6 linked regions of the Oryzias latipes genome follow. The main gene of each other region encodes a partner of the protein of the gene in region 4 in a complex. Links are inferred from orthologs where the notes say so. Each region holds a gene or a part of one and is shown on either strand. Other genes may lie near its edges.

Region 1 (5,201 bases), on a different chromosome or scaffold from region 4:
CACTGGATGTTCTTCCTCTGGTGGCTGAAAAGCATTTCTTTGGACTTCTCTGCGATCACCCTGAGAAATTAACAACAAATGTGTCAGCAGCCTTGAAAGGAGCCTTGATCCGGTTTCACGCGGAAGCTTGCTAAAGTCGGCCCACCCACCGGACTGAGGGTTCCGGGATGGTGTCCGGACTCGCCGGCACCTGAACTCCTTTCTCCCACTTCTGCTTCCAGGTGTCTGCCAGCAGGTAGAAGTCCTCTGGGGAGATGTGGTGGGAGTCGGGCAGCTTCATGGCACTGATCAGGTCTTTTCGGAACACCTGTGGGAGACAGGAGGCCACCAGGAGTCAAGCCCACGGTCCTGAGACGTCTCCACAGTGAGCGTACAGTCTGACCGTACAAAAGATGCCCATACTTCAGCCGGTTTCTTTGGGTTGGAGGCGGGGGTTCCAGGTTTGCTATCATACTTGTTAGAAGAGAAGTAGGAGGTTGAAGGACCTAGACGAAGACCCAAAAGTGTAAATAATGTTGGTACATTAAGAGAAAAAATGCTGTCCAAGACACGTGACCTACTTTCATTGTCAGAACTGTCGCTGCTGCTGGACAACCTGAGACGTTTCATCCTGTAACATCCTGTGGGAGAACAAGAGGATGGAGCACACATCAGAAGGCCGTCACTGACCAAGGAAGGCCATGGAGAGACTGTTCAAGAAAAAGACCATTGCTTACCATAAATTTCCAATTGAAAAGCATGCTAGTAGATTCTTCCAGTTGCCAAATTCCCACTTTGCTTCTTATCTGCAAAAAAAGGGGAGTTATTTTCAGAATAAGAGCATCAAAGAGTTAGTGATGACAGTTCTGATGACCATGTTCTTGTTGCAGAATCCTCCCAAAAAAAGACAATTAGATACTTTAATGTATAAAGAAAAAGGAATGCAAGTACGAACTAAATAAAATATATATATAGACATCATTCGTACACCTGTAGCCCAATAAATGAGTGATTTAAACTTCAAACTGCTAAGGGCCGTGTACAGTACACCGTTTGAACAGACAGGACATGCCTCACATTCCCCATGAGGAGTGAATGAGGAGGAAGAGGACGAGGAGGAGGATGAGAGGGCCTGCAGCCAGCTCTGCTCCACACCGCAGTAAGGTTATACTGCTGAGTAAAAAGTACGCATGGACAGTTTTCTCTTTATACATGTTTAACCACGACTGGTGTTCACATCTGCAGGAGGTAAACAGGAGAGGATTTGAAAAATCCAACATAAGTTTCAAGCAAAGATCAGGTCAACCATACATCCTCTACATAATAACGCAACACTGTGGCTTTTTTTTCCAAGATGTAAATGAATCTGGAGGACGCCAACCTGATTTTGATTTGTCATGTTTGTTTGTGTCTTTGAATTTGTTCAAATGATTCAATAAAAACAACCTAAATCTGAGTAATATCTCACTAAGTATTAATATATAGTAATTCATAATATAGTTTTTGTTGTTAGAACGATGACGACGTGTTGATATAATAATAAAGCTGAAGTTTAATGGTTAATTTTGATCCTGTTGTTAAAATGTGTTATACAAAGGCTGAAAAAAATCCCTTTACCTGCCTTATTTTAGCCTAGATATTTACTGAACTGCATGTTTTCTCCTTTTTGTTTTTGTTTATTTGGGTAGATTAGAAAGTTCGAATATTAACGTCTGGTCTAAATGCCAAAGTGCCCTTGAGCCAACTCACTTTGCTTCCTTTACTCATCAGACTTTAAACTCAAGCTGGAGATCCATCCAGTCCATTACACCGTCTTTAAAAATATTAAAATTTAAAAAGATGTCCTCCATAACATATATTAAAAAAAAAAAGAATAATAATCATAGTTTAAAAGGATGCTTGATTTGTCTCATTGTCAAAATTCAGAAAAAAGGAAAGATATGTTTCAATTCAAGGAGTCTGGATATGGAACAATTTAAAAACAAGCAAATAAAAAAACAGAATCACACAGTCAAAAAAAACTTGAATTGCTACAAATATAGAATCAATAAACCCTATGACTTAATTCCAGGAACTCAAATATAGAAATAAGACATAAACTTGCCAGTGACTGTTATTCTAAACTGAATGAAGTCATCCACAAGCACACATATACACTATATTGCCGATATGCATGTATATATTTATATTTAGTACCTTTTTCAATTACTTTTTTTCACTTTTTATTTGCTTTTATTCTAAGTATTTAAAGTATAAAATATAAATATCTTTTCTCCTTTCGAATAAGAATAAGAGAAGTTTTTTTTTTTTAGAAAAGAAAACAAAAAGGAGATCTAAGAGTGACAGATGTGCGCATGCTCCAGGCGAAAGAGGGATCAGCCAGATAATACTACGGGGCCGAAAACTTCACGGTAAGGACCAGTAATCAGTGTTGTCACTAAATTAATGATAAACTTTGCAAACAGAACAAAAGCTGCGGGTCAAGAAGATGTAAATTTGTTGATTTAGCTTCTTCAATGATCCCAGAATATTTATCAGCACATCAAAGAAAGCCAAAAACAGTAGGAAACTAATGATGCCGCCATATTTAAAACTCCTTTTGTACACCATGCGGGCGCTGATACCGCATCTGGATAAGTAAACTTTAATGGAGTACCAGTGAAACACGTGGGGAAAAAAAGTCTAAAGTTGTTGCTTTATGAGCAGTATTGGCGCCAACTCGCACGCTGACTCAGCCTCGCGCGGGCCCAAAGCGGGCTGAAATCAAACATGGCGCCACCGTCATACAAAGATGTCACTTCCGAGCGACGGCGAGCCAAACATCGGGATGGCCCAACTAGGAGCGTCCCACAGAGGGGGAAAAACACATGGCTACGAACTAAAAGAAAAATAGGTGGTTGCTAAAATACATCAGGAGTGTCGGGACGCATAGCAGGTTTGGGGGAGCAGGGTGAGGAGCGGGGCCCCGTGGTCCGGATATGAATCCGGGGCAAATCCATGCCCGCACACAGAGTAGACACGGGCATATTGTTCACATTCACCCCCGTCCTACCTTCTCTCCACGCGCTGCGGCTGGCCTTTTCCACGTCCACATGCGGTCAGGTGGACCGTGCTAACAGATGCTAATAAAAGGAGGGCCTCCCGGTCCGGACTGGGACTTCAATGCTGGATCTTTTTTGGGTCCAAATCCAACAGAAGGGGAATCTTAAGGCAGCAGCCTGTCCACCAACACGGCACAACGACACTATTGTGCCGCGCCCCCTCCAGGTCCTAAACTCCACCGGTTAACAACAATCTCTTTCTATGGATATTATGGATATTAACTTTTGTTAATAAAGTTTTCTTTAAAAAACACAACAGCTCTTATTTATTTTAATATGTATCTACACAAATTAAATAATGGATTAGCAACTGCAAAGACGATCAATAAAATGTTTGATTCAATAAAATCTCATTTTTTATATTTGCTGTTTATATTAATCAAACTTCCACAGCTTTAGGTTTAAAAAAAAAAAAGGCCACAAAAAGAAAATCACTGTATTGCTAAACCAACAAATTAAGTTATTCAACCATTAAATATTTACATATGTTTTAAAATAGATGCATAATTCTATTTATATTGATTAAAATGGCTGAAATTGACCTCAGAAGCTTTTTAACAGGGCAGGTCTCAAAAATAAAATACAACCCTTCCTTTTGCCCAGAAAAGCGTTTTAGATGTCTGTTCTAGTTTACTTCAGCCATTTTAAAAATATATATATATATTACAATGATCAATATCTCTAAAGAGGATTTCATCATAGTAGTAGGTTTAGGGGTTGTCATCTGGACTTAAGGTTTTTAAAGTCAGAAGACGTTTCACCTCTTATCCAAAAGGCTTTGTCAATTCTGAATTGACAAAGTAAAACTAAACCTACTACTATGATGGAATCAACCTGGATGAATGAGAGTCTACATAGACACGTCTAAAGATGATTTATATAACGTAATGACAATCTGTTGTTGACTCCAGATTTATCATAGACCACCACATTGATGTTTTCATTTGGTTTCTCTATTTATAACAGCGTAAAACACATGAACTTGTACAAAACAATGGATGTTACATTTTTATACAAAAAAAGAAAAACAAAGTATAAAAGAAACATTTTAAAAATAATCACAGGCTCCTTTTGCTAAAAGGAAACATTCAAACATTCTTGATTTGGCTTATCAAATCATCTATACAGCAAGTTTCAAATATGCACAACATAATGCCACAAAAGTTCATTTATCCAAAAAAGAATTAAAAAAAAAAAAACAACTACAAGTTAAGAAAAGACAAATATGAAAGTATTTAGAGATATGTGTACAGAAATCACAGCTCGTCCAAAACTCATCTCTGCCTTCATTGTTTTATCCATGTGCTATGTGTGTTTTTTTTTCCATTTCATTTGTCTTTAGGCAGGAATGTTTAGGAATTAAAAAACTAAATTACAGCAGAGTTTCAATGAACACCAACAGAAAAAATCAAATCCTTTTAGAAGAAATAACCATTCACAGTAATGTTTGCAGCTAAGATTCAAAGTGTACATACCATGATTGACGGTCTAGACAGAAAACTTTTGTTTTGATGAATATATATATAATGTGATTGCTGATAATGTAGAACAACAACAACAAAAAAACTCCCTTTATGTTTCCACATGTAAAATACTCCTCCTGAATCCAGATAAGTACAATTTCATATCACAGATTTAATAAATGCATGTTTGCTAAAGTCATATTTATCATTGCCTCTGATTGTAATGGTAGTATATTTAAGTGATGGTTGAGTTTTAACAAAAAAAGAGGAAATAAATGTGAGTCAGAGACTCTTTTAGATGACTCTCTTGACTGGCATTTGGCTAAAGTTAGTCATTTACCACAGTATTTTGTCCAATCTCAGCCCTCCTGTTGAGAAGAACAAGCTGAGAGCAACATTAGATACACGTTATGCACAGAACTGAGCATCAAAATGAGGAAAAAACGCAGTCTAAAGGATTTATTACCTGTCGCACGATTTAGTTTGTGTAATTCAGAAAATGTTTTCATAAGAAAAGCCAGAGCTGCTTCAGGGGTCAAAGGTGTCTCTGACATTCGAGGGAAGGTGGCCAGACTGGTTTGAGTTAAAAGAAAGAAAAAGAATGGCACTGAAGACACCAACCCTATAAAAATGATGAGACTTGCAGAAGGAAACCACA
Region 2 (4,404 bases), on a different chromosome or scaffold from region 4:
TTAAACATGGGAGCATTTAAAGCATTCGAGCAGTCTTTACGGTAACTCTTCTACTTTTAACATACTTAATGTAATTCTAGCAGATTCTGAAGAGGAGAAAGAAGCCTGATGCTTCACACTTAACAGCAGTGACGTGCAATCAACGTAAACCAGCTGATTCTGTCACAGAGGAAAGTGGCTTTGCGCCGTAATGCAACATTTTACATTAGCAATGTGTTGAATATGGGTGCAAAGACGATATGAAAAGCTGCTATTCAAAATAAACTGATTCATGTTGATCGCGTGATTTGTCAAGGAGTTACGGTATGTCAAAGAGTGTGTGCTATTTAGGAGTAACCTGCAACATCTCCAGTGTTAAAGCCTTCATTTAGTGGTAGTGGGAATGCTCTGTTGTTGATCTTCTGACTAACATACTGCTAGCTCATTTGGCTACTCTGCTGCACAACCTGCTGTTTGGTTGCACATGCGAGTCATTACTTTGATGTGTAGCTTTAAATTTTGCAATAAAAAGCGTTGCATGGAACTATTTTCATTAACACTGAATGATTCTAAAATAAATACGTGTTTTGTTTTAGCACATTAAAAAGATTAAATGATGTCTCAGACATTTATCCGTTACAATCACAAAAATCTCTATTTAAAAGCAGAATGCAGGAAAACCCATAAATGAATTGAACACATACATCATGGCTAAAACAGGAAATAAACCATGACTACGTTTTCATGTTAAAGCATTTCTGCCAAATCTAAGTTTAATGAGAAACAGAAGCTGGACGGTCTGCTAAAACCCAATCAAAACGCCAGGTGGTAAGCAGGTCATCAGGTGTTTGAGTGGCTTCATAATCTACTCAGGTGAGGAAAGGACCATCTGGTCCTCAAGAACTTCCTCCCTGCCTGTTTTCCAGTTCTCCCTGCATCACTTGGTGCTAAATCAGTCCAGGTTTAGATGGACTGAATGCTCCTGACCCAACAACAGTAAAGGCAAAGACAGCTAGAAGAATAGTTGCCACTCTGGAGAACCAACGTTTGGCATCTCCACTCGCCAGTGGGAATTTTATTAAATGTAAAAAGATTTGGATTCTCACTTAACCTTGAGGAGAGGCAGATTTTGATGTTTATTTTTCTATACAAGCATCGAATTCTGAAGTTAGAGACAAGTGGTGTCAGACATGAAGTCACATACAAAGGCAGTACTAGAAAGAATGGTTAAATGAGATAAGATCAGGACTCAAAATAAACGCCCACACTCGCACTGTGCGGCTTTGTCTGTGGGGAACTAAGCTTACAATGTGAGACGCTCCGCGATCCTCCAACAGAGTATGAATCATTTTCAGTGCCGGAAGTTTCCTCACTGCTGTCCTCATGGAAGGCGGAGCGTGGAAATGATGCCTTTCCTCTGCCCTGCTTAGACGGGGTTGTGCTGAGACAAAAACACACAAGAATATCATTACCAGTTCAACACAAACGAACAAATAAAAAGCCTACTTGTTTGCTCTGAAACTACGTCTAATTGGGGGTCTCTTTGACTGCAACAAAGGGTTTAAAGCAAAGTACCTGGTCCTGTCAGATGCTGCACTGCTGCTGCTGCTGGTTGTGGACTCAGAATCTGAGCTTGAACGAGGGAGACGAGACTCACTTCTGTACACACGGAAACTTTCCGTCACAGGCTGGTTTCCTGTATCAAAGCCGTTACTTGGTAAACCTGAGAGTAAGAGACACAGACAAGAAAGTCAGTGTGGGACTTACAAATGAAACACTACAAGCATGAATTTTCTTTTTTTGGAAAACGGCCTAGATTCTACCTGGGAGCAAGTCGTCATTGTCACTGTCGCTGTCAGAGCTGGAGCTGGTGTGGGGGCTTCGGGGCCTCTTCCTCGGCTTGCCCGTTGGCAGTAAAGCCAGCTGTGGGGGGCCGATGGGGCTTTGGCTCACCCCAGCACCAGGATAGCCAGCATCCCGGTTCTTTGGGGGACGCCCTGGCCTTTTGGGGGGTCCAGCCATTTTCTGGTTCTTCTTAGAGAAAAGGACGGACGTCCTACGTCCAACCTCTGGTGCTAGAGAAGAAGAAGATACAGTTAGGTCCTATTGCACAGACACAAACGAATGTTCATTTTTCTGATAGTCAAAATATTGTGATAGTGTCTGAGCATTTTCAAAACATGCTCAGAGACTGACCTTTTCCTCCAATTTCTTGACTGCTGCTCTCTCCACCCTCATCATGGTGTCCTGCAGAAGATGAGTGATGAGGGAGAGACAAGCCCCGGTCACCCACAGACTCTCTGACCCCCATACCGGAGCCTCCCTCCCGCTGATGCGCAAGCTTCCTCTTGATCACGCTGATCTCCTTTCTTAGAGCTTTGGCTCTGCGAGACTGACCGATGCTGTGCTTTCCTGAGTTGACCTCGTCGAGGCGCGCCTGCAGGTAATGCAGCTGCTCTTCCAGAGGCAGCCGCCGCCTGTTCTCTGGCAGAAGCAGTTCTGTGGGAGGCAGGGATTGTCATAGCTTTTGAAAATCTGGCTTCACATCAAAACTGTTGAATGTGTGGAAAACAGAGAGAAAATGGCTGTTTTAGTGTAAACAACTATTTAGGTTTCTCAAAAAGAAAGAAAAAACAAATTGTAAAAATTATATTTTGTGTTTTTTAGGAATATACAGTAAAGTGAATGCAGTTAAAAAAACTGTGGCTGCATTTTAGGCCCAATTCAAGTGCATGAATGACATACGCCATCTATTGGCCATATGCATTCACTGCAACCAAGATTTGAACACTTTCTTTGCATCAAAGTCTGCACAAAACTGTTGTTATATCAACATTTTAACAAACAATATGTTGCAAATTGGGATACAGTGTTTTGTAATTTAATTTAATTCAGTTCATTTATAAAGTGCCAGATCACAACCAAGGTTTTCTTGAGAGACTAAAAGGGAGAAAAAATGAGCTTGTCAGCACTGTTGCCTCAAAGCCAGAATGTCCCTGGTTCAAATCCCAACTGAATCCTTTCTGTGTGGATTCTTTTCAGATAGGTTGGTCCCACAGTCCAGAACCATATTTCATTGAATATTTGGGGACTCCAAGTTGCCCCTCAATAGTACATGTGTGATATTCTCTCATGTCAGGGTCAGACCTGCCTTCATCCCATCATAGCTGGGTTAGGCTTAAGCAACAACCATAACCCCGCTTTAGGATGAAGCAGGTATAAATAGATGAATGGATTATGTAAATCAGTGGTCCCCAACCTTTTTCAGGCCTCAGAGGGGTTTAATGTCAGACTACATTTTCACGGTCTGGCCTGCAAGTGGCTGAAGTGGGAGTCCTTTTTATTTTCTTAAGCCCCCACTTTCCCTTAACTTGTGAGAGTAAAGTTTATCTTCATCTCCTATAAAATATCCGCATCTGCTTTAAACTTTACTTGTAAGCTACATATTATGTAGAAGCCATTACAATGTGATATAGATTTTTCCTTAACCCAGAAATTACAACGTGGAAGCTAAAAATCAGCTCACTTCAGTCTTATCAGACTCTTACGGTGTGATGGATAAATAAAACAAGTAAAAAAAAGTCGCTAAAACTGGTATTTTCTAAAAATAAAAATAAATCCACCACTTGATCAACTTTACAGTCAGCATCCCTGTAACATTAGACATATGGTTGCCGAATATGATGCATTTTTATGGTGTGTGAGAACAACTGTTGCAATAAATCCATATTTAGAGTAAAGACTCCTGTTTTTTTTCTGATTTCTTTAAAGTCAAAGGCGGATTTTCTGTTTCCTCATTGGCACTTTTCTGTGTTTCGAAATTCTCCAAATATGTTTATTTTTTGCTATCTTTTTATTTAGTGGTCGTTGCAGCTGCTTTCAGAAAATAGTGAATAGATTTTTTAACACGTGATCAAGCAGCTTGACATGTCTGATGACTGATTTAGATGTGGTGGGGAGAATCCAGTAGCTTTCTAAAAGAAAACTTCCTTCAAAATAAGATTATTTAAAAAACTGAGAAAATGTAGGTCATTTTTTTCCCCCACGGCTGCCTGGTACCATCTGTCCCACGGACAGCCACTGGTCCTCGGGACAGGGGTTGGGGACCACTTGTGTAAATTATCTTATCCAAATTCCTCAAAAATGAATGACCCAGATGTTTTCTACAAATTAGGACATTTATTTTTTTCCTCTTCTTCAAATGTTTTGACCAAAAAATCTTTAGGAAAAGTGAAAAAGAAGCACCTACCATCTTCATTGGAAGACAGCGTCCGCTCTCTTTCTCTGTCCCTCTCTCGTTCTCGTTCCCGCTCTCGGTCTCTCTCCTGTTCCCGACGGGTGTCTGGGCTAGTCTCCCGGTGAAGGTGCATCCCGCTCTCATAGTCGAAACCTATCCGATCAGCTTGCCGCTTCGCGGCCCTTATG
Region 3 (4,981 bases), on a different chromosome or scaffold from region 4:
ACGGCTCTGTTCACAAGGCATGCTTGAGAGGAAAAAGGTGGCGTGTTGTCAGGCGTGTCATGAAGGCTCACCATTTCATACGTTTGCATGGCGAGCTGAACTTTGTCGTCACTGAACTCCTTGCACTTGCTGTAGGCGTTCTGAATCTTCTGTAGATGTTCCACTCTCTGCTCTGAAGCCAGGTTCTTCACGTTGGATATATATTCTTCTGCCAGTCTGTCAATCTCTCCTTTCTTTTCTGCAGAGGAGCAGAAATGTTTTGAGCCACAACGACGGACAACTCAAAGGAAAGCAGAAAAACCTCTATGTCTACCACAGATGATGGGTTTCAGTGAAGAAGCCATCATCTTCTAAAAGTTCCTTTTCTGTCGCCTTTGGCTAAAAGGTTAATGGATAAAACCCCTACCTTCAGTTCTGCTGTCCAGGTCCCGCATTAACGTGAAGTTCCTTTGCAGCTCACACGGCAGGTTCTCAATACCTGGAGAAGTAAACACAGGGAGACATGGGATCATGACGCTGGACAGACATTGGGTAGTTTCCCCTGGAGACATGCCTGTTCTGCCCCAGAACAGCCGGTCACCAAATATAACAGATAGTATCAAATAGGGCTGCACGATATGAGGAAAACCCGCAATATGGGATATTAGTGATCAATATTCGATGACGATATAACTTGCGATAAATGAACAAATAGCAAAACAACAAAAACGTTTCCATTTCACTGCAAAGTATAATTTAAATAAGGGTCAAAATACCTCAAATTATTCTCCAAATGACCTTCGTCTAATTAAGAGGGCAACATCTAACATGAAAGCTCCATCTGATTGGTCAACAACAGGAAGGGCTCCATCTGATTGGTCAAATGGATAAAGAGATTTATTCAATTCATTAAATAGTTCACGTTGCCATAAGATTGTTTTAGCACATTTAAGGTTTACCATTTATTGAAATTGTCGCTGACTTTTGCGATATGGATATTGCACAGCTTGAAATCACGATACATCGATAAATTTGCGATTAATTGGCATTTTCCACCAGGACTCAGGAAAACGAGTAAGAAATAAAGAAAGATCCGCCACCAAAAACATGTTTTCAAAGACATTTGAAGTTTCAAAGGGATGTATACATCAGTGTGTTATGGCTTCTCAAACAAGCTGTAGCTGAAAGACCACGCATAGAGGTTTATGTTGACGTCTGGATTCTCTTCTTTTATTGGTTAAGTGCTATAAATAAACCCATTATTTTCCTGTTTCTCTTTTTTTCTTTATCATAGTATCTTCTGACATTTTTGGCCGCTTATCTCCTTCTACAATTTTTCAGCTATTTTAACTATTCAGCTCTTTCAGCTTTTTCCAGTTATGACTTTTGGTCCTTCAAATCCTTGAACTTTTCCAGATATTCCATGATTTTTGCCTCCATTGAAATACATGGGGAATCCTGGGTGCAGAAACTTGTCTGGCATTTTTCACAAAAATATCTTTATTATTTTGCCGTTTTTACTTTACTTATGGTCAACTTTGAACATTTCTTTATTTAATTTTTTATTTTGTGCCCATTCTTACCCTTTTAGTTTCATTTTCATTAAGCAATATACGTTAAAACCTTGCATTTTCTTCTGGAAATGCAGCTCCTTCTGGCTTTCTCTAGTCTTGCTCTCTAGATCAGTGTTTTTCAACTTTTTTTGAGCCACGGGACACTTAAACCTTGACAAAAATCCCGCGGCACACCAGCATCCAAAAATAAAGAAAAGGGAGAAACTCTTAGTCTGTATTGATGTACAGTCCCTCCACAATCTCACATGCATTTCTGTGATAATTGTGGCAGAAAAAGCTGGAAGCTGCAGCTGTTTCTTCTAAAAGATGTAATAAAAGTTAAGTTAAAATATTTAAAAACTGTTTGATGCGTGTTCGTTGTGGTTTCAAGACGTCAAAGGCTACGTTCACACCACAGACTGAAACGACCCAATTCCGATTTTTTTGCCCCCCTGTGACCTGTATCTGATCTTTTCATGACAGTCTGGACGACGCAGATCCCATCTTTTCAAATGTGACCCAGGCCCCTTGGGTATGTGGTCCTGAATCTGAGACGTATCCGATCTTTTGAGCTGAAATCCTGGAGATGGTAAATGTTTTTAGATCAGTGAATGAGGGCAATTTCCCACGGCACACATGACCATCTCCCACGGCACACTGGTTAAAAAACGCTGCTCTAAGGATGTAGGTGGCCCCTGTTCCACATCATGGTCGTGCTCAGCATGGTGGGGCTGACAGGATGCACAGCGCTCTAGCGCCACCCAGCGTCAGCTGGAAGGGCTCGTCTGCAGGGCGTGGAGTCAGGGGGGCACCGGGCCTGCGCAGTAACCAAAAAGGCGGTTTGCACAGGCTGCACATCATGAAGTCCCGGCAGCAAACGGAAGCGCCTTCACGCGGGGTTGAAAAACAGTTCTTGAGTTAAAAATCCCTCAATAATAAAAATAGATAAATAAAAACGTGACTCCAATGGAAATACTAAACTAAAAGGGTTTCGTCTCAGTATATTTCTGCTCCGGCGTGAATCTGTGAAGCCATCACAAGTCAACCCAAGTGACGTCACAAACATGTACGTATAATCAGTTTAGGTGTGCTACTACCACACACTTTAGTCTTTACCGTCTGCTAAACTACCCGCAGCCACACGGCGACGAAAAAGACCGAAGAAGCCCGAACCAAAACTCCTCCAGGACCTTCTACGGATACTCACTGTCAAGGTAGTGCTCCAGGTATATAGCAGTAGCCATTGTTGACGGAGAGTTCGGCTCCCGCGCGCTCTTTAGCTTCCAAACTACTAGCCAAACCAAGCTACGCTAAGTTTGTTTTGTAACTCCGGGTCGCCCGTCGGTCCCTGTCGTTGTAGGACTTCCGCTCCGCCGCCGCTCAAACTTTTCTCTTCCCGTCTCGTCTCCAGAGCATTCGACTGATTGTAGTTAGACGGTATTTCCGCAGACAGTCGACCTGCGCTCCGCTCCAAACACCGGGAAACCGACCGAAGATCTGGCAGCTCCACCACCCCGCAGACCAAGCGAGACCTTCACATGCGCGTTCCCGCTCAGATTACCAGCACTTTCCAGCTCGGTCAGCTGGTGCGTTGCGTCATTCAAAACAAACGTCTCGGTGGGCGGGGCTCCTGCAGCCTCTCTGTCCGTCCGTCCGGTCCGGCTAACGGAACAGGCAGGTCCCTCCGTCCGCTCCAGAAGCTTCTCATCTCGTGCTGGTTGCAAATTATTTTTTGCCTTTTGACGAATTGTCGAGTCACACGCGCGGTTACGTACGTACGTCAACCATATAGCATCTATGACTGCTTGAGCCTCCAAACTGTTTTGTTGGTATTAAATTTACGCTGCGGCTAAAATGCGGCTTTGGGGAAATTTTTCTGCATCTAGTAGAATGTATGTAACATGTCAAAGCGGAAGTTGTAGCTACTGCTAACATATTTCAGGTCACATCGAGCCTTGTTGTCGATTTAGTCCGTTTTTGGGGTTCTGCTGAGTTTCACTTCCAGCATGTTTGGTTGTGTCTTCTCAGATGGCTGTGGTGAAGAGCGGTTGGCTTCACAGACAGAGTGAGTCACGCGCATGCGCGGCCTATGCAGGTCATCCCAAAGAGCAGCTAGACACATTGAGTCACCTATTTTGGAACTGAAATATTACAAAAAATGTTTTATACATTTCAACGTTGTTTTCAAATTTCAGATGAAAATTAATTTATTATATTTGGTAAGTTTGATATTCACAAATCTAAAGTTTCTAAAAATAATCCCTGTAACAACAAAAGAATTAGAATCTTATTAGAACAAAACAGTAATAATTAAATATTGCCCTGGAACATTTTTAATTTTTTGTGATGTATGTTTTGTAATGCATGTGCATCCTCATTGTTATTGTTCTGTATGTTTTGGACAATTAGTTATATTTAATTGTAATAAAAAAGAGGTTCAGATGCTGATGGAAGCTGCTTCTTTTCATCGCAGGTACTATCCTGCGCCGCTGGAAGAGAAACTGGTTTGACCTATGGGCTGACGGACGCCTGGTGTTCTACAATGATCAGCAGAGGCGGGACATGGAGGATGACATCCACATGAGAGTCAGCTGCATCAACATCCGCAACTCTGCTGCATGCCAGGGTGAATTTCAGCATCCGCGATACTGTGACAGTTGCTGACCCTTAAAGTTAAACGTTGAGTTTTTTTATTGTGGGCCTTCCTGCATTTCCTGTCAGATCTGACCCCCCCGGAGGGGAAGTCCCGTGATGCCTTGCTGCAGATAGTGTGCAGGGACGGGCGTGTCATCAGCCTGTGTGCTGACAGTGCAGATGATGCTCTGTAAGACTCTTTAGGTGTCACCTTTGATCAAATGTAGTTCTTGGGTTCTGTGGAGAAGCTTTTAGTGAGACTGACGTCTTTTCCTGCTTCTTAACACAGAGCATGGACCATGGCGCTTCAAGATGCCAGGATTAACATGGTAAGATTTTTCATCGTCTGATACGTTTAGACTCAAACTAAGCTTGATTTTTTTTTTTTTTTTTTATTTGATCTAAAAATGAACACGAAATCAGATGGGATCAAGTGGAACAGAAGCTTGTAGTTTAGACCTGTGAGCGTTTTCTGTCTGGCGTTTCTGACAGAGTTACGGTTTAAGGGAAACCTTTGTTGCTCTGACGTGTGTAGGTGGTTGCAGCCCCGCAGGTCGGCTTCACACAGGAAGTCATGGAATCGGCTCCTCCCCCCTACTCGGAATACGCCCATCCACAGGTAAAAGGAGGAAACCACATACATTTTTGTTTTAAATCTTTATTTATTGAAGAGACTAACTTGAGGTTTACAGTCTCACAGCCAAAATTACAATTAGAACGGGCACAGAAAAAGGTAAACAACAATCACAAAATAATAACAAAAAATACAAACCTAAAAGAAGGGGGATACATGGGCATTATAATGATCAATAACT
Region 4 (5,044 bases):
TTCATCATGATCATCATTAGGGCTGCAGCTATCGATTCTTTTTGTAATCGATTAATATAGCACTTAATCGATCGATTAATCGAGTAATCGGATAAAACGATTTGTGTGCGTTTTTGAACAACCAAAACAAATAATGCATAACAAAAATGATGTGGTTGTAAAATGAACAAGCATTTGATTTTAAAGATCCGCTCTGATGCAAATGTTAAGAAGCCTTGCGGTCCGCCGAAAGGCGAGCTACCGCCTGTCCCAGCCCCTGCCTATCGGCGCCCCCTCCACGGCCCGCCGCCCCTCGCTCGCTGCCGGCGGCACGCGCGGGTAAGGCGTCGGGGTTCCAGCGGTCGCGCAGATGTCTTCTGTTCAGATGCTGAATCATGGAAGATGTGCTGTTGTGGAATGCCAGCTCTATTTTGCAGTACAGACACTGCACCTTGTTCTCTTCTTTATTAAGTGTGTAATGATCCCACACTTAAGACAATTTCTGCCGTTTATTTATAGATCTATTCTCCGCCATCGCGCCAACTAAATTCAAAAGGTCCGTGTGACACAATCAAATCCCTGCGTATAGTGCGCGTCATAGGAATGTAACGAGGCTTCGAGGCAGAGTTTTTTCCTCGAGGAAATTTTGTAATCGAGTAAGTCGAGTAACTCGAGGAATCGTTTCAGCCCTAATCATCATCATCATCATCTGTAGCCAGCTTCAGCAATCACACGAGCATTTTTTTTAGGAAATGAACGTTTTCTACTTCAACTTTTTTAGTCAGAAGAAGACGGAAAAAAAAAAAAAAAAAAAAAAAATCACCATATTTTGTAAAAATGTTCAATTATTGTAATTTTTATTAAGTGTAATCTGTTCTCTTGATCTTAATAACACAAATATATTAGTTTGCCTTGTTAAAGCTGTAAATCTCCAAATTTAAACAGAAAAGTTCTGGTGAATCTGCTGCGGCTCAGCTTTAACCCCGCCCACACCTCACCTGTGTCTGTTCTTGTTCTTCCTCTTCTTGTAGCTCCCGTGATGGCTGCCTGAGGAAGAGGAGGCGGCTTTCTGAGGCTTCAGGTCGTGCAGCGTGGAGTCCACGTCCTCCGTGTCCTCCTGACTCGGCTCGTTCTCCTGGTTCTGAAGGTCTGGAGACGCATCGCTCTCTGTGCCGCTGCCGGCCTCACCTGGGGAATCCCCCGGGAGGCAACAAGTCAGAACCGGCATTCTGAGGAGGCCCAGGCACCAGGAAAGTAGGCAAATTTGACTCACGCTTCTCGTTCATGTGATCCGGGATCCCGCCGAGCGCACACACTGCCTGCCAATCACAAGAGACCACTGAGGAGCAACTTCACATGAGATGGCTGAACGCATCACGCGCAGGAAGTACTTACTGCGACGGACGTGACAGAGGACTTGCTGAACAAACGCTCCGCTTCCTTGAACTTGCGATTCCTCCGGTCAGTCTTACTATTGGAGTTCCTGATTGATCGCAGAAAAAGAAAAGGACCCGATCAGCAAACGCACAGAAGATCTAACCTCACCGGAGTCTGCCGCATTCACACTCACTTCTGGTTGGTCAGGTATCGGTCCCACCCTCGGATGATGTTCCCGTACATCTGAGTGTCCTCCAGGTAGCTGCCCTCAAAGGCGTAAATCTGCCGCTCCAGGTTCACCAGCGTCTCCTGTGTCGTTAAAACGGTTTTACTGCAGACGTTCTGATTGGTCAAGCTAAGATCAGTGCTTATCTTTTCACAAAGATAGCTTTTTTAAAATTTATTTCATTCATTTATTTTTACCATCAAAAACTTGAAAATCCTCTTGAGGTTCTGGTAAAGATTGTTTCATTATTTAGCCACTTGAGGTAAACTTTGAATTTTTCAGCTCCAGAATTGGTCTTTCTCTTCCTAGTTGATCAACCCAATCATCTAATTTTCCAATTTATGAACTAAATTCAATGTTTATAGAAATCCACAAGACTGCAGAGTCAGTATACAACTAGAAAAACATTTTCTATCTTTGAAGTGGTAGATGATGGATACATGCATTTATACATTCCAACTAAATTCAAGAAAAATTCCATTTTGAGACTTTTTAATTGAATTTGACGCTTGTTATTGTCAATAAAGGTCAATAAATTGACGGGAAACATCTTTCAAGTACAAGCAAAACATTATTTTAAATAATGTTAAGGAGGCAAAAGTTAAAGAGTAGTCGTCCAAACAATAACAACATGTTAAAAAACGAGTATGTAAACCAAACGAGTATGTAAACCAAAAAAACTACTACTACAGTACTGGGTAATTAAGCAAATTTGTTGTTAAACGTTTTATGTTAGACAAAAAAAGTAATTTTAAGTGACGCACTAGTACTTTACAATAAAGGTCATTTTCCATTACTTAGAGTATTACTAGAAGCACAACTAGAGATGAAAACAGTAAAAGTCGCAAAAAGATAAGAAAAATAACCTATGACAGAAATGTAACGCGATTGTAACTTGGTTTTTCACTACTAAATCTTAGTAGGTTCCACTCTGTAAACAACGGTGTTGAACAATAAAGAGTTTCAAAACGTAAGGTATCGCGAGAACACACTGTTCGTGCTTCAGGTCTGTAAACTAATTTGGATTTTGTTCGTCAAAAAACGTGAAAAAATAAAACATTCAAACATGAAACGCAGAAACACAAACTTTAAATGTTTTTTTCGATGTGAGGATAAAGTGTTTTTGTTCTTGGTCGATGCTTAGTTAGGACAATTCACAATAAAGGTTTTGCGGCCTGCTAGCTCAGCTAGCATAAGCTAATGCTCGGGTATCTCAGCTTGGCGCGCTAAACCCGGGTTCCGAAAAAAAACATTTAACCCGCTGAAACAGAACTGCGGACTCACGGCGAGCTCCTGTTTCCTCTTCACCAGCTCCGCCAGCTCCCGACGCGTGTCCGGGATTTGCGGCGGGGTCGCCTTCGCGTGCATCGACATGATGGCTCGTTCCGGAACCGACGGGAGGAGGCGCGCGCGCTCAGGAAAACTGGAGACGCGTTGGTGCCGACAAAGATAAGACCGCAAGGTGGCGCCCAAGCGTTGTGAAAGGACCCTCTTCCTACCTTGTTTTATACTTGAACTGAGTTCTGGAAAGGTAAATGGAAGAAAGAGACAGTACATAACAGTAATGCCCAGTGGCTGGTCTCTCTGACAAAAGAAAATAGCAACCTCCCTGAACAGAATCCAGTAACCATCACAGTGGCAGACATACAAGAAAGAGTCTCAGGTATGAAAAACTGCACAGCACCGGGCCCTGACATGTTACATGCCTACTGACTAAAGAAGCTCACCGCACTCCACGAGCGTCTGCCAGCACAAATGAACCAGCTGCTCATGGGACTCACCCGAATGGCTAACGGAAGGGCAAACGATCCTGATCTAGACGGATCCCTCAAAGGGTGCAGTCCCAACCAACTATTGCCCAATAACCTGTCTATCCACAACATGGAAGCTCATGTCTGGCATCATTGTAACCAAGATAAATAGGCACATGGATCAATACATGAGCAAACACACAGAAGGGCATTGGTAGAGTCTTCAGAGGAGCCAAACACCAACTCCTGGTTGACAGAACAGTCACTCAAGACTGCAGGTCACGACACACCAACCTGTGCACAGCCTGGATTGATTACAAGAAGGCCTATGACTCAATGCCACACACGTGGATCACTGAATGCTTGGAGCTGTACAACATCAAAAGGACTCTTCATAGGAAATGAAGCCAATGGGAAGCCACTTGCACAAGTGTCCATCAAATTTTGGATATACCATGGTGATGCTCTGTCCCCACAGCTGTTCTGCATAGGTCTGAACCCCCTCAGCCAAATAATCAACAAGACTGGCTATGGATACCGACTCAGAAATGGGGCCAACATCAGTCACCTCCTCTACATGGATGACATCAAGCTATATGCTAAGAGCGAGCGTGACATTGACTCCCTGATCCACACCACCAGGATCTACAGTACTGACATTGGGATGTCATTCGGGCTCGAGAAATGTAGCCGGATGGTGACAAAGAGAGGCAAAGTAGTCCACACAGAAGGGGTCCCACTCCCAGAAGGAACAATGGAAGACATTGAGGAAAGTTACAAGTACCTTGGAATTCCGCAGGCAAATGGCAACCTGGAGCAGGCAACAAGGAAAGCTGCAACAGCTAAATACCTCATACAAGTAAGGCAAGTCCTGAGAAGCCAGCTCAATGGCAAAAATAAGACTCGGGCAACAAACAGCTACGCACTGCCAGTAATCAGATACCCTGCAGGAATAATAAGATGGCCAAAGGAAGAGATACAGACCATGGATGCTAACACACGAAAGCTCCTCACCATGCATGGAGGGTTCCATCCCAAATCCAGCACCCTGAGACTGTATGCTAGCCGCAAGGAAGGAGGCCGAGGACTAGTGAGCGTAGAAGCCACTATCCAGGATGAAACATCCAACATGCATGAATACATCAAGCTCAAGGCCCCAACTGACAGTGTGCTCAGTGAATGTCTCAGGCAATGGAGAGCAAAGGAAGCAGTGGAGGACAGATCCTCATGGGAGGACTGCATGGGATGTACCTACGGAGCATAACTGAAGTGGCGGATGTCAAGAAGTCCTACCAATGGCTTGAAAGGGCTGGCCTACAGGACAGCACCGAAGCACTCATCCTGGCAGCTCAGGAACAAGCCCTGAGCACCAGAGCATAGAGGCTCAGATCTACCACACCAGACAAGACCCAAGGTGTAGGCTGTGCAGAGAGGCGCCTGAAACAATCCAGCACATAACTGCAGGGTGTAAGATGCTGGCAGGTAAAGCATACATGGAGCGCCACAATCAAGTGGCTGGAATAATATACAGGAACATGTGTGCAGAATATGGACTAGAAACCCCAAGGTCAAAATGGGGAAACACCTCCGAAGGTGGTAGAAAATGAGAGGGCAAAGATCCTGTGGGACTTCCAGATCCAGACTAATAGGATGGTAATGGCCAACCAACCAGACATTGTAGTGGTGGATAAAGAACAGAGGAAAGCCGTTG
Region 5 (5,040 bases), on a different chromosome or scaffold from region 4:
AATCCACGTTTTTTTTTTTCATTTCAAGTCTTCATTATTTGAGACACTTTTTCATTTGAGCAGAAAGGATTCTCGGGATAAACAATATTCAGATAAGTTTTATGCAAATCAATGTCATCATAACCCAAGATTTTGAGATTAACCAGTTCTGAAGTTACATTTTCAAGTACAGTGTTCCCTCATTTACCGCTGGGGTTACGTTCTAAAAATAACCCACGATAGGTGAAATCCGTGAAGTAGGATTACAGATGTTTCAAGGCCGTAAACCTCCTCACTACACACTTTTTACACTTTTCTCAGACAAACATGAACATTTTCACACTTGTCTCTCTTGTTTAAACTCTCAAAGTTCTGTTTTATAGAATGAAAACAAAGATCTGATTGTGACAAAAGATTGATGTAACTCTGGTAAGATGAGCACATTGTGTAAAGAACAGAGAGGGGATTAATTGACAAGGTCAACAGCCAATCAGGACGCACAACACAGTGCTGTAAAAAGAAAAAAAAAACGTGCAGAATTGCAGTAAAAGAAAGCGAAAGGTGAACTGTGATATAGCAAGGGAACCCTGAAATCATAGTATTCATTATAATCTTCAAGTGATAACACTTACAGAGGCTTCAGGTGGACTTTGTATTTGACTATAACCCAAATTCAAAGTATGGTATTCAACTGTCCCATGCAGAGATCTTACCTGGGCTCCCATGGCGTCGTAGTCTCTGGCTCTAGTGAAGGAGCGCCCCAACTTGGAGATTTTCCCGGTGGCTTTGTCAATGGTAATAACATCACTAAAAAGTGTGTTTAAAGACAAACAAGAAAAGCTCCATTTAGATAGGACTGAGAAAAAAACAAAACCCAAACCTTTATATTGCTTTATGAGGAGAAGATGAACTCACCCGGCTTGAACTTTCTCTTTACTGAGGCTTTCAATCATCTTGTTCCCCAAGTCATATATTGTCTCCATCTCTGTAGTCTTCAGAGTCAGCTTCCCCACCTTTGCACCCTGATTAAAGCAAACCAGCTCAACATGAGGCGAATCAGCTAAATAAATCAACGTTTTCTAAAGCTATGGTATGGAAAGACTGTTTATGAAGTGAAAGGATCTTACTGTTCCAGTGGCGGGTCTGTCAATCTGGATTTCTACCACCTCCCCTTCAATGATTTCTGTCTCCTCTCTGGATTTATGGGGGGGAAGAGAGCGGACTTAATTTCTATCCAAAAAAAACAACCTAAACCTTGTTTATATACTTACTTGATTCTCACTCCTATAGCTTTTCTAAAAGCTTGGCTCAGTGCTTCAGTTTTGCTCATTTCCAGGGAAAAGATCTCACTTCCAGCCAGAGCTGTAAAGGGGGTGTCAGGGCCCAAAGACTGAGCAATACCTGTAGATGAAAGAAAAACATGCAACAAGCCTCAAATAGCCAACAGAACTTTGCCTCAGGTGGAAACTTGTATGCATCATTTCTGGTCCCATGCTCACCCATAGCAATAGCCGTCTTCCCCGTGCCCGGCTGGCCAGCAATCAGAACGGCCCTGCCGGCGATGTGTCCGTCTTTGATCATCTCCAGGATTATCCCTGCTGCTCGACGGGAGGCCAGCTGGCCGACCATCCCCTGTGACACCTGCAGGTGAACAGGGAACTCAACTCGTTCAGCAGCAAATATGCCTCATTCGGATTTTATCCTTTGACTTAAGGGACATTTTGAATGCTTTAAACAAGCTGCTAAAAGACTTTCCTGTTGGAATCACAACATGTGGGTTTAGTGCTGACAACAGGGCTTTAGAATCAAGTCTCGCTTTGCTACTTGACTACCTCTATACTGCTTCATGTTGTTTCCACACACAACAAAACATTAAAAGGTACATTCGAAACATTTTAACCTCTCAAGTTTAACAGCAGTTTAAAAATATCCAAATATGTTTTCCTCTGTTAAGTTTTTGCCTTTTTAAAGGACATGAATTACAAAAAAAAGCCATAATTTTATCAAAACTACAAACACCTAAAACTACTGAAGTCTTGGGTCAAAACAGAGATCAACAAACAGAAGTGCTGCACGTTACCTGTCTGGGCTCCAAAGCATCGTCCAAACCAAGGCCCCGAATGTGAGAGTGGGCCCCTAACCACACAAAGATGAAACTATTACACAAAATATTACAAACATACGGGAAATCATAGCAAAAATAAATACACACAGCTCATGTAGAGATAAGGCATGTTCTAAAGTTTACCATTCAATTTAAGCTTACCATTTATTTCTAAAGTGTTGAAAATCTGCATGGGGTCTTACCTATTCTTTCAATCCGTGTAATGTCCCGAACCTCTGGCACTTTTGTAGTTGCCATCTGTAGAATAATACATCAATGACAAGAAGAAAACAAAAAAATGCAAAGAAACATTTTTAAAACAATTTGCCTCATCGTAAACAAAAGAACAAATATTTTCAGAGGAGTTTAGGCCTTCGTTGATCTTTGACTAAATCTTAAGAGCATTTTTTATTGTTTGTTTAAAAATCCTGCTTATGAAAAAGAACAGCAAGAATTCCTTATGTGTGTGTTCAAATATCGATGACACTTTTGGATGTTTATCGTTTCCAAAGAGAGTTAAAATTTGCATCCTCCATTCACCAATGTTTTAGTGTTTTCCACATAGACTTTGTCAAAGCAATATAAATGTGGAATTCCTTTTATGCTCCACTTGTCCTGTCCGTTGTCATAGTGACAGCAATGAATGACCACACACAACACAACAGCAAAGCTTAGTCAACACTCTTTGACATTTTAAAATATATATACGCATATTTGTGAAACATATCTAGGAAGGAAAGTATTAGTAAATCAGGTTTAGAAAAATTGACACTTCACTGAAATTAGTTTATTTTCTAATATGAATACGGGGGGAGAAAATCGACAGGTAACATCAGCTAACGATATTAGCAAACAAGCTAGCATCATTCACACCGTTCATAACGCAAAACAACAGCACACGCCATATTAGCCGGGTAATAAAAGCCTGCATGACACGCGGAAGTACTTAAAAATAAATTGGCTATACTACTTGGGTGAAAATATTAAAGTCCAAATTGATTTTAACATCTACTACAAACTCAGGACTCACCTCCGCAGCCACACTTAAAAAACGTGAGAAGCGCCGCTTCTTTCTCAGGGAGTACTGGTTAAATGTGTCCGACAAGAAACATGCGAAGCCGTTCAGTTCCGCTACTAGAGTTTATTGGGACTGCCCTCTATAGACTCAAATGTGAATTACAAATCTGGCGTAAAAGCCCGGATTTGTTTTTGAGATGAAAGCTACGTTTTTGTCTTGATCGTCACGATAATGATAACCTGAAAATACTTAAATACTTCGAAATTATCTTTCTGTGTGTCAAATTTACTACCTAACAAATAATGTTTTTGGCATTTTTGATACCTATAACTATTAGAACTGAAATTTTAAGCATTCAAATACAGATTAAAGATTAGAAAGAAAAATAAACTCAGGTTGCTAATAATTTAAGACCTGGATTGCAGTCATCTGAACAAAATAAAACCAAGGAATCTAAAATTGTAGTTTAAAAAAATACTTTAAACTTAAAGAAATGCATAAGAAAACGTCACATTTTAAACAACTTATCATGCTGTTACCTTGAAAAAAAGATAATTAAACCTAAAACATCACAAATATTCATATATTTATTTCCCAACAAATGTAAAAATATGATCATGCATTAAAAAACATGTACTCCCTTAATATGCACTGCTTTTATAATGTGTGCTTGAAGTCCTTATGGTAATTTTCTCTCTTTATCATGACTTATATAATCCATAGGTGATCTCCTGAACCAAAACTGGTCAGAGAAACTAAGAGGTTTCAAAAACTTTCCATTTTGACCCAAAAGAAACCCTGTTGGTTTGCAGAGGATGTGACTAAACCTGATTAGTCTGAAGAAAAGCCCAGCAGCACTGCACAGATTTTTCCACTAGAGGATGCAAGATTAATGTTGTGCAAGGATCCTCATATAGACAAAGTTATAGTAAGAGATCTACTAATAAACCAAAGTTATAGGATTGATGACAGAAGCCACATGAAACTAAATGATGCTTGTAGAGATATTTCAGTTAGAGGGAGTAAGTGTAAACAACCCCTACATAAGGTATGAAGTGTAGGAATGGGTGTTGTTTCTTATTATTTACCTTGTAAAAAAACTGCATCTCCCTTTTTTATTTGCCAAGTCTGAGGATAATCTCTTTATCCTCAGAGAAATTGTTGAAAATGTTTAGACGAAATAACTCGAAGGAGCAGACCCCTCTGAAGTGCTACAGAGGGGGTCTTAATATCCTTTCCATAAATCATCAAATTCAACCCTCAAGGCTGAAGGGTTCCAGATCATAATGTTTCATTCAGGAAACAGATGGATGCTGAAAATGACAGGTTCTTCAAGACTGAAATGAAAGAGACAAGGATGAAGCAAACTCATCGTTGTTTCATTTCAGGCGTCAGTTGTTGGGTGTGGCAAACAAGTTCAGCAGCACCCACTTGAATTGCTGAGAGGCACTCACAAATTGCATTTTTTGTGTAGACGGACCAGAGTCCGTTGGGTTGAGTGACTTTGGAAACACTTCATGGAGCAGCTCTTTTGTCTTTTGTGCCGTTTTAGGTCCAGATGTCGATCTTTGCTTAAATCCAACTATTGGAGTTACTTTTATGAAATCCTTTTACGACAAATTAGTCTATCATCAAGGCACTGCTGATTGTGAACTGTCAAAAGACAATGCCTCTGTCATACAGTGTAGGAGTGGTGGCGGGGTAAATTCCTGTGACTTGCCACAGAACAGGATGTTCCCCGAGATCGCACTTCCTCCAAACAGGCAAATGAGTGTGAGGTCCTTTCCGTACGAGGTTCAATTTCATGTTAAATCTAGGTGTGTCTAGTAGTTCTAAATGTTACATTTTTATACCTGATGTTCATGTTAGTGAGCAAAAAGGGACAAGAAGCTGAAAGTTGTGGTAAAATAAGTTTTACTTAAATAAAAGGATGAAAAAT
Region 6 (5,000 bases), on a different chromosome or scaffold from region 4:
TTTAAAACGAAAAAATGAAGTACAAAGTTATGCCAGTCCCCCTTCAAAGGCGAAATTTATACGAAAATACAACCCTGATTTTATAAAGTTCGGCTTTGTGAACGGAGGCAGTGAGGCAGAGCCCAGTGTGTTGAGTGTGGGCTAACATTATCCAATGAAGCACTAAAACCGTCAAAATTAAAGCACCATCTGGAAACCAAACATCCGAAGCTCATTGGAAAGCCAGTGGATTATTTCAAAAGAAAGGATGATGGGCTTCAGATGCAGAGGGGGTCCATCGTGTCACTGACTGGCGACGCTAAGTGTGCGTTAAAGGCCAGCTACCTCGTAGCCAGACGTGTGGCGCAGAGTAAGAAAGCGTTCACCATAGCGGAGGAACTGGTTCTGCCTGCCGCTGTGGACATGTGCCGTGAGATGATTGGTGAGGCTGCAGCAAAGAAGCTCAAGACCATCCCGCTGTCGAATGACATTGTGAGTCACCATATTGCTGACAGGGCCTCAGACATTGAGCAGCAGCTTCTGGGGAGAATAAGACAGAGCCCCTTTTTCTCTTTGCAGCTGGACCAGTCGACTGACGTCACAAATGCTGCGCTGCTGTTGGTTTTTGTTCGCTACCGGTGGGATAGCTCTTTGCAAGAAGACATTCTGTTTTGTGGAGAATTTCCAACTCGAGCTACAGCTGAGGAATGTTTCCGCTGCATGGATAACTACTTCACTGAGAATGGCCTTGACTGGCAGAACGGTGTTGGAGTGTGCTGTGATGGCGCAGCGTCAATGACTGGCAGGCATCGCGGTGTCATCAAGCAGATACTTGATCTTGCGCCAGAAGCTAAATGGACCCATTGTTTTCTCCACCGTGAAAACCTTGCAGCAAAAAAAATGTCTCCAGAGTTCCATGAGGTGATGGATGTCACTGTGAAAACCATCAACTTCATTCAAAGTAATGCTGTGAACTCCAGATGTTTTGCTCAACTTTGTGAGGGCATGGAAGCAGATCATGTCCAAGGCAAGGCAAGGCAAGTTTATTTGTATAGCACAATTCGTACACAAAGTAATTCAAGGTGCTTCACAAAACAGAAAAATGCATTAAAATCACAATACATCATAGAAATAATCAACATAAAATTTACTTTAAAAGAAAAGGAAGAAAAAAAAAAGATTTAAAAAGAAAGGAAGGAAAGAAAGGTGCAGATAGGCAAAACATAGATCGGTGATTTCCTTATGAAGTGATTTTTGGTTTATAGCAGCGTTTCTGTCCTGATATTTTCATCACAGACAAACAGACCCGTTGCTTAAGGTCTCAGCAGCTAAATAATCTCAGGCCAAGCCCACCTTCTGTTTATAATATTAGCGAAAATCTTAAGTAAAACATCTTTATTTGGTGCAAAGTCCAAAAGTATGCAAGTTAAACTACTATTCCCATGATGCATTTCCTTTAACAACAGGAAAAACCGCGCCCTCATTGTTGAACCAATCCGAAAGCCGCGTACGTCACGCAGGCGCAGTCTGACCTCATTTTTTTTCCAGTGTTTTTGTCAGCGAGGCAGCGCCATATTGGAAGAAGCCGTTTCTGTCCTAAAACGGCCAAAGCGCGAACTTTGCCACCATGCTGTACCTAGAAGATTACCTTGAGAGTGAGTACCGGACCGGGGCGTCGCGGCGGTACCGACTTCGGCCCGTTATGTGTGCACAGTGTGTGTCTATGTGTGGCCGCCGCGTGCATTTCCGTTAGCCTAGCTGCAGCGGATGCTAACGTGTTTTTCCTTTTCCGGCAGTGATCGAGCAGCTTCCCATGGACCTCCGCGATAGGTTCACGGAAATGCGGGAGATGGACCTGCAGGTGCAGAGTACGTATTTCCGCCAACCACCGGGCTCGGCTGGGACATCTGCCGCGGCACGGAGACTCGAACCGCCAGCGAGCGGTTAAAAAAGGCCAGATTACCGGAGCTAACACACCTGACATGTCCGTGAACCCGGTGACACCTCAGTCACGTCAACGGAACTTATCAACCTTTCAGCTCGTTTAATAATTCACTAAGTGAGGTTTTGTAGAGCTGCGTGCGCCACTTTACGCATATGTGGCTGAGATTCTGAAGCCCCTCCCCTTTTTGTCAGGCGGTCATGGTGATCAAAGCACATCCCTTCATTATCCGCCGCCTTTCATGTTGACGTCATGACCGCAGCTGCTGTTCAAACTTTTATCACATCAGTATTTGTTAGTTGAGGCACATTCAGTCACTCATTTATCGTTATCCTGATATCAAGCTGTGATAAATGTAACTTTAAATGTGCTCAAACAATCTTATGGCAGCTTGAAGGATTTAAGGAATCACATAAATCCATTAATGCATTTGACCAACCAGATGGAGCCCTTTGATGTAGGGGGGGGGGGGGGGGCATTCGGAGTGTAATTTAACGTACACTTTAAATTTAATTGAAGCTGTTGCAGTGAAATGGAAATGATCTATTTAGATAGTTTGCTATATGCATCACAACTTATATGGTCATTGCAATATTCATCAGTAATGTTGGAAATGGCGAGTTTTGCTCATCTCGTGCAGCCCTAGTTCAGTTGTAAAGTCCTCCAGGGTCATCTGTGACCCCTAGCTGTTGGAGGGTCAGAGTTAGGTGGACTGACCCCCCCCCCCCCAGTCTCAGATCTGACCTCTGATGCAGTTGCAGGTGGAAGAACTTTGGAGACAGTAAGAGAGTTCTTCTAGGTTCCTGTCTGATCCAGAACCAGCACCAGAAAGCTGATGTCATGTGCTTTAGTTCTTTCCCGCCTCTTTGTTTCAGACGCCACAGACCAGCTGGAGCAGAGGGTCATTGATTTCTTCATCAATGCAAAGAAGAACAAACCTGAGTGGAGAGAGGAGCAAATGGAGGTTATCAAGAAGGTCTGGAATCTGCTGCTGGTTCTGGAGGAACCCGAAGGAACCTGTCAGATCTAGATTCTGTTTCTGGTGTGTTTCAGGATTATTACAAGGCCCTGGAGGACGCAGATGAGAAAGTACAGCTGGCCAATCAGATTTATGATCTGGTGAGTGGAACCGTCTGCCGCTCTGACCGGATGGTCTCTGACCTCCTGCACAGTGACGGTCCAGCTGGGTTTGCCGGATCGCCTGGAGGTTCCACCGTAGCAGGACGGAGTTCCCTGACAGTTTTGTCTGTCCCTAACACCACTGGGGAGGAGCTTTCCTCCCTCATCACCAACAGACGCCCCGCAGCAGCTGGACCGGGTCTACCTGCTGCACCGCGTCCAGAAGCTCATGTGACCTGTTGTCTCCTCTGCCTCCAGGTGGACCGGCACCTGCGGAAACTGGACCAGGAGCTGGCCAAGTTCAAAATGGAGCTGGAGGCAGACAATGCCGGCATCACAGAGATCCTGGAGAGACGTGAGTTCGATTCCAGAGCGACTCGTTGGGGCTGAAAGGCAGAGCGGTGACCTTGTGCTCTTCTCAGGGTCACTGGAGATGGACAGTCCCTCCCAGCCGGTCAACAACCATCACATGCACTCGCACATAACAGCCGAGAGTAAGCTGCTGCACGCCCTCAGCTCCGCCTCGTGATGTCAGGACCTCTGCAGCAGGTTCACGTGTCACCGTGTCCTCTGTCCACAGAGAGGAAGTGCAGCGCCCCCGCCCACCACACGGTGGAGCACATTCCTGAGAAGAAGTTCAAGTCTGAGGCTCTGCTGTCTACACTCACCTCGGATCCGTCCAAGGAGAACACGCCAGGTAGCATCTGCAGATAACAGCCATGCAGCTGGAGGGCGGAGCCTCCACGCAGCTAACTGCCCCCCCCCCCTCCTGCCCCCTAGGTTGCCGCACCAACAGCATGTCTGCATCCACCAACAGCGCCTACAGCCTCAACTCCTCTCAGCCCCTGGCTTCCTACAACCTGAGCGCTCTGCCCGCAGGACCCGGGGCCGGCGCCGGCGCCATCACCTTGGCGGCGGCGCAGGCCGTACAGGCCACAGCCCAGGTCAGAACCCGACCCCCATCCTAAAATCGTGCATGTCGGCCCCGCTGGTGGCGCTCCATCCCCCGTCTGTTCCGTCCCATCAGATGAAGGAAGGCCGCCGGACCTCCAGCCTCAAAGCCAGCTACGAGGCCATCAAGAACAACGACTTCCAGCTGGGCCGAGAGTTCTCCGTGTCCCGGGACGGCTCCTACTCCTCCTCCGCCCTGGCCTCCACCCTCACCCAGACGCTCACTCCCAGCACCACCTCTGACTCCAGAGGTCGGAAGTCAAAGTAAGTTACCCCCGTCCCACCGCAGGTGTCTCGGACCCGTCTGACCTCTAGTCCCTGTTTTCCAGGAGCAACATCAAGTCTTCCAGTCACCAGTCCTCCTCTTCCTCCTCCTCCTCCCTGTCCTCCTGCTCCTCCTCCTCGGCACTGGCTCAGGAGCTCTCTCAGCAGGCGTCGGCGCTGCCGGAAGCTGAGGCTAACAGCCAAGTGGACTGGACCTACGACCCCAACGAGCCCCGGTACTGCATCTGCAACCAGGTATGCCCGCTACCGCGCTGTGAGGTCACTTCCTGTAGGTTCCGCTGTTAACTGCTTCCTGTTGGATCTCGTCCAGGTGTCTTATGGGGAGATGGTTGGCTGTGACAACACAGATGTGAGTATGAGCTTTGGTGAGGTTCTGGAACCTGGTTGAAAGGCGGTTCTGAAGGATGTCCTCTTCCTCCTCAGTGTCCCATCGAGTGGTTCCACTATGGCTGTGTGGGCCTGACCGAGGCGCCCAAAGGGAAGTGGTACTGTCCACAGTGCACGGCCGCCATGAAGAGGAGGGGCAGCCGCCACAAATAGACACAGGAGATTAGCGGACTGCAGCAGAACCGGTCCTGAGGTTCTATCAGAGCTTGAAGCAGATGATCTATTTGATCTGAACTGTTCTTGCTTTCATCAAGCCGTCTGACCTTTGTGTGGAGGTCAGGGACGAGAGAACCCATCCGGTCCTCAGCTGTTCAGGTTCCGTTCTGGAAGCTGGTTC

The links.
Region 1: meaf6 (region 4) and jade3 share a complex: the UniProt entries of both Homo sapiens proteins name them as parts of the HBO1 complex. The link is inferred for Oryzias latipes from reciprocal best matches to the Homo sapiens genes MEAF6 and JADE3.
Region 2: meaf6 (region 4) and brpf1 share a complex: the UniProt entries of both Homo sapiens proteins name them as parts of the MOZ/MORF complex. The link is inferred for Oryzias latipes from reciprocal best matches to the Homo sapiens genes MEAF6 and BRPF1.
Region 3: meaf6 (region 4) and ing5 share a complex: the UniProt entries of both Homo sapiens proteins name them as parts of the HBO1 complex. The link is inferred for Oryzias latipes from reciprocal best matches to the Homo sapiens genes MEAF6 and ING5.
Region 5: meaf6 (region 4) and ruvbl2 share a complex: the UniProt entries of both Homo sapiens proteins name them as parts of the nuA4 histone acetyltransferase complex. The link is inferred for Oryzias latipes from reciprocal best matches to the Homo sapiens genes MEAF6 and RUVBL2.
Region 6: meaf6 (region 4) and ing3 share a complex: the UniProt entries of both Homo sapiens proteins name them as parts of the nuA4 histone acetyltransferase complex. The link is inferred for Oryzias latipes from reciprocal best matches to the Homo sapiens genes MEAF6 and ING3.

Annotation. Positions count from the first base shown.
Region 1 is NC_019862.2:28,223,609-28,228,809, reverse strand, and holds the start of jade3 (protein Jade-3), read right to left. Parts: upstream 3,245-5,201; 5' UTR 3,032-3,244; intron 786-3,031; 5' UTR 717-785; intron 621-716; 5' UTR 610-620; coding exon 561-609; intron 486-560; coding exon 403-485; intron 308-402; coding exon 150-307; intron 61-149; coding exon 1-60. UniProt on the Homo sapiens protein: Scaffold subunit of some HBO1 complexes, which have a histone H4 acetyltransferase activity.
Region 2 is NC_019865.2:17,244,701-17,249,104, forward strand, and holds part of brpf1 (peregrin), read right to left. Parts: coding exon 4,229-4,404; intron 2,479-4,228; coding exon 2,176-2,478; intron 2,055-2,175; coding exon 1,803-2,054; intron 1,703-1,802; coding exon 1,555-1,702; intron 1,421-1,554; coding exon 1,287-1,420; intron 1-1,286. UniProt on the Homo sapiens protein: Scaffold subunit of various histone acetyltransferase (HAT) complexes, such as the MOZ/MORF and HBO1 complexes, which have a histone H3 acetyltransferase activity.
Region 3 is NC_019862.2:3,235,896-3,240,876, reverse strand, and holds the start of ing5 (inhibitor of growth protein 5), read right to left. Parts: upstream 3,105-4,981; 5' UTR 2,777-3,104; coding exon 2,740-2,776; exon of another isoform or gene 2,659-2,739; intron 2,599-2,658; exon of another isoform or gene 2,410-2,598; intron 479-2,409; coding exon 407-478; intron 239-406; coding exon 72-238; intron 1-71. Other genes in the region: plekhb2 (pleckstrin homology domain-containing family B member 2), read left to right, coding at 3,561-3,597, 4,006-4,158, 4,254-4,356, 4,456-4,495, 4,702-4,785. UniProt on the Homo sapiens protein: Component of the HBO1 complex, which specifically mediates acetylation of histone H3 at 'Lys-14' (H3K14ac) and, to a lower extent, acetylation of histone H4. Component of the MOZ/MORF complex which has a histone H3 acetyltransferase activity.
Region 4 is NC_019869.2:19,899,695-19,904,738, reverse strand, and holds the start of meaf6 (chromatin modification-related protein MEAF6), read right to left. Parts: upstream 3,101-5,044; 5' UTR 2,957-3,100; coding exon 2,867-2,956; intron 1,666-2,866; coding exon 1,550-1,665; intron 1,463-1,549; coding exon 1,375-1,462; intron 1,299-1,374; coding exon 1,253-1,298; intron 1,168-1,252; coding exon 978-1,167; intron 1-977.
Region 5 is NC_019872.2:21,690,409-21,695,448, forward strand, and holds the start of ruvbl2 (ruvB-like 2), read right to left. Parts: upstream 3,224-5,040; 5' UTR 3,114-3,223; intron 2,342-3,113; coding exon 2,287-2,341; intron 2,116-2,286; coding exon 2,060-2,115; intron 1,621-2,059; coding exon 1,479-1,620; intron 1,381-1,478; coding exon 1,251-1,380; intron 1,174-1,250; coding exon 1,107-1,173; intron 1,002-1,106; coding exon 895-1,001; intron 787-894; coding exon 693-786; intron 1-692. UniProt on the Homo sapiens protein: Possesses single-stranded DNA-stimulated ATPase and ATP-dependent DNA helicase (5' to 3') activity; hexamerization is thought to be critical for ATP hydrolysis and adjacent subunits in the ring-like structure contribute to the ATPase activity.
Region 6 is NC_019881.2:24,132,903-24,137,902, forward strand, and holds the start of ing3 (inhibitor of growth protein 3), read left to right. Parts: upstream 1-1,514; 5' UTR 1,515-1,606; coding exon 1,607-1,634; exon of another isoform or gene 1,635-1,691; coding exon of another isoform or gene 1,692-1,692; intron 1,693-1,775; coding exon 1,776-1,847; intron 1,848-2,796; coding exon 2,797-2,897; intron 2,898-2,974; coding exon 2,975-3,040; intron 3,041-3,298; coding exon 3,299-3,395; intron 3,396-3,462; coding exon 3,463-3,534; intron 3,535-3,620; coding exon 3,621-3,737; intron 3,738-3,820; coding exon 3,821-3,984; intron 3,985-4,067; coding exon 4,068-4,255; intron 4,256-4,320; coding exon 4,321-4,510; intron 4,511-4,586; coding exon 4,587-4,625; intron 4,626-4,699; coding exon 4,700-4,816; 3' UTR 4,817-5,000. UniProt on the Homo sapiens protein: Component of the NuA4 histone acetyltransferase (HAT) complex which is involved in transcriptional activation of select genes principally by acetylation of nucleosomal histones H4 and H2A.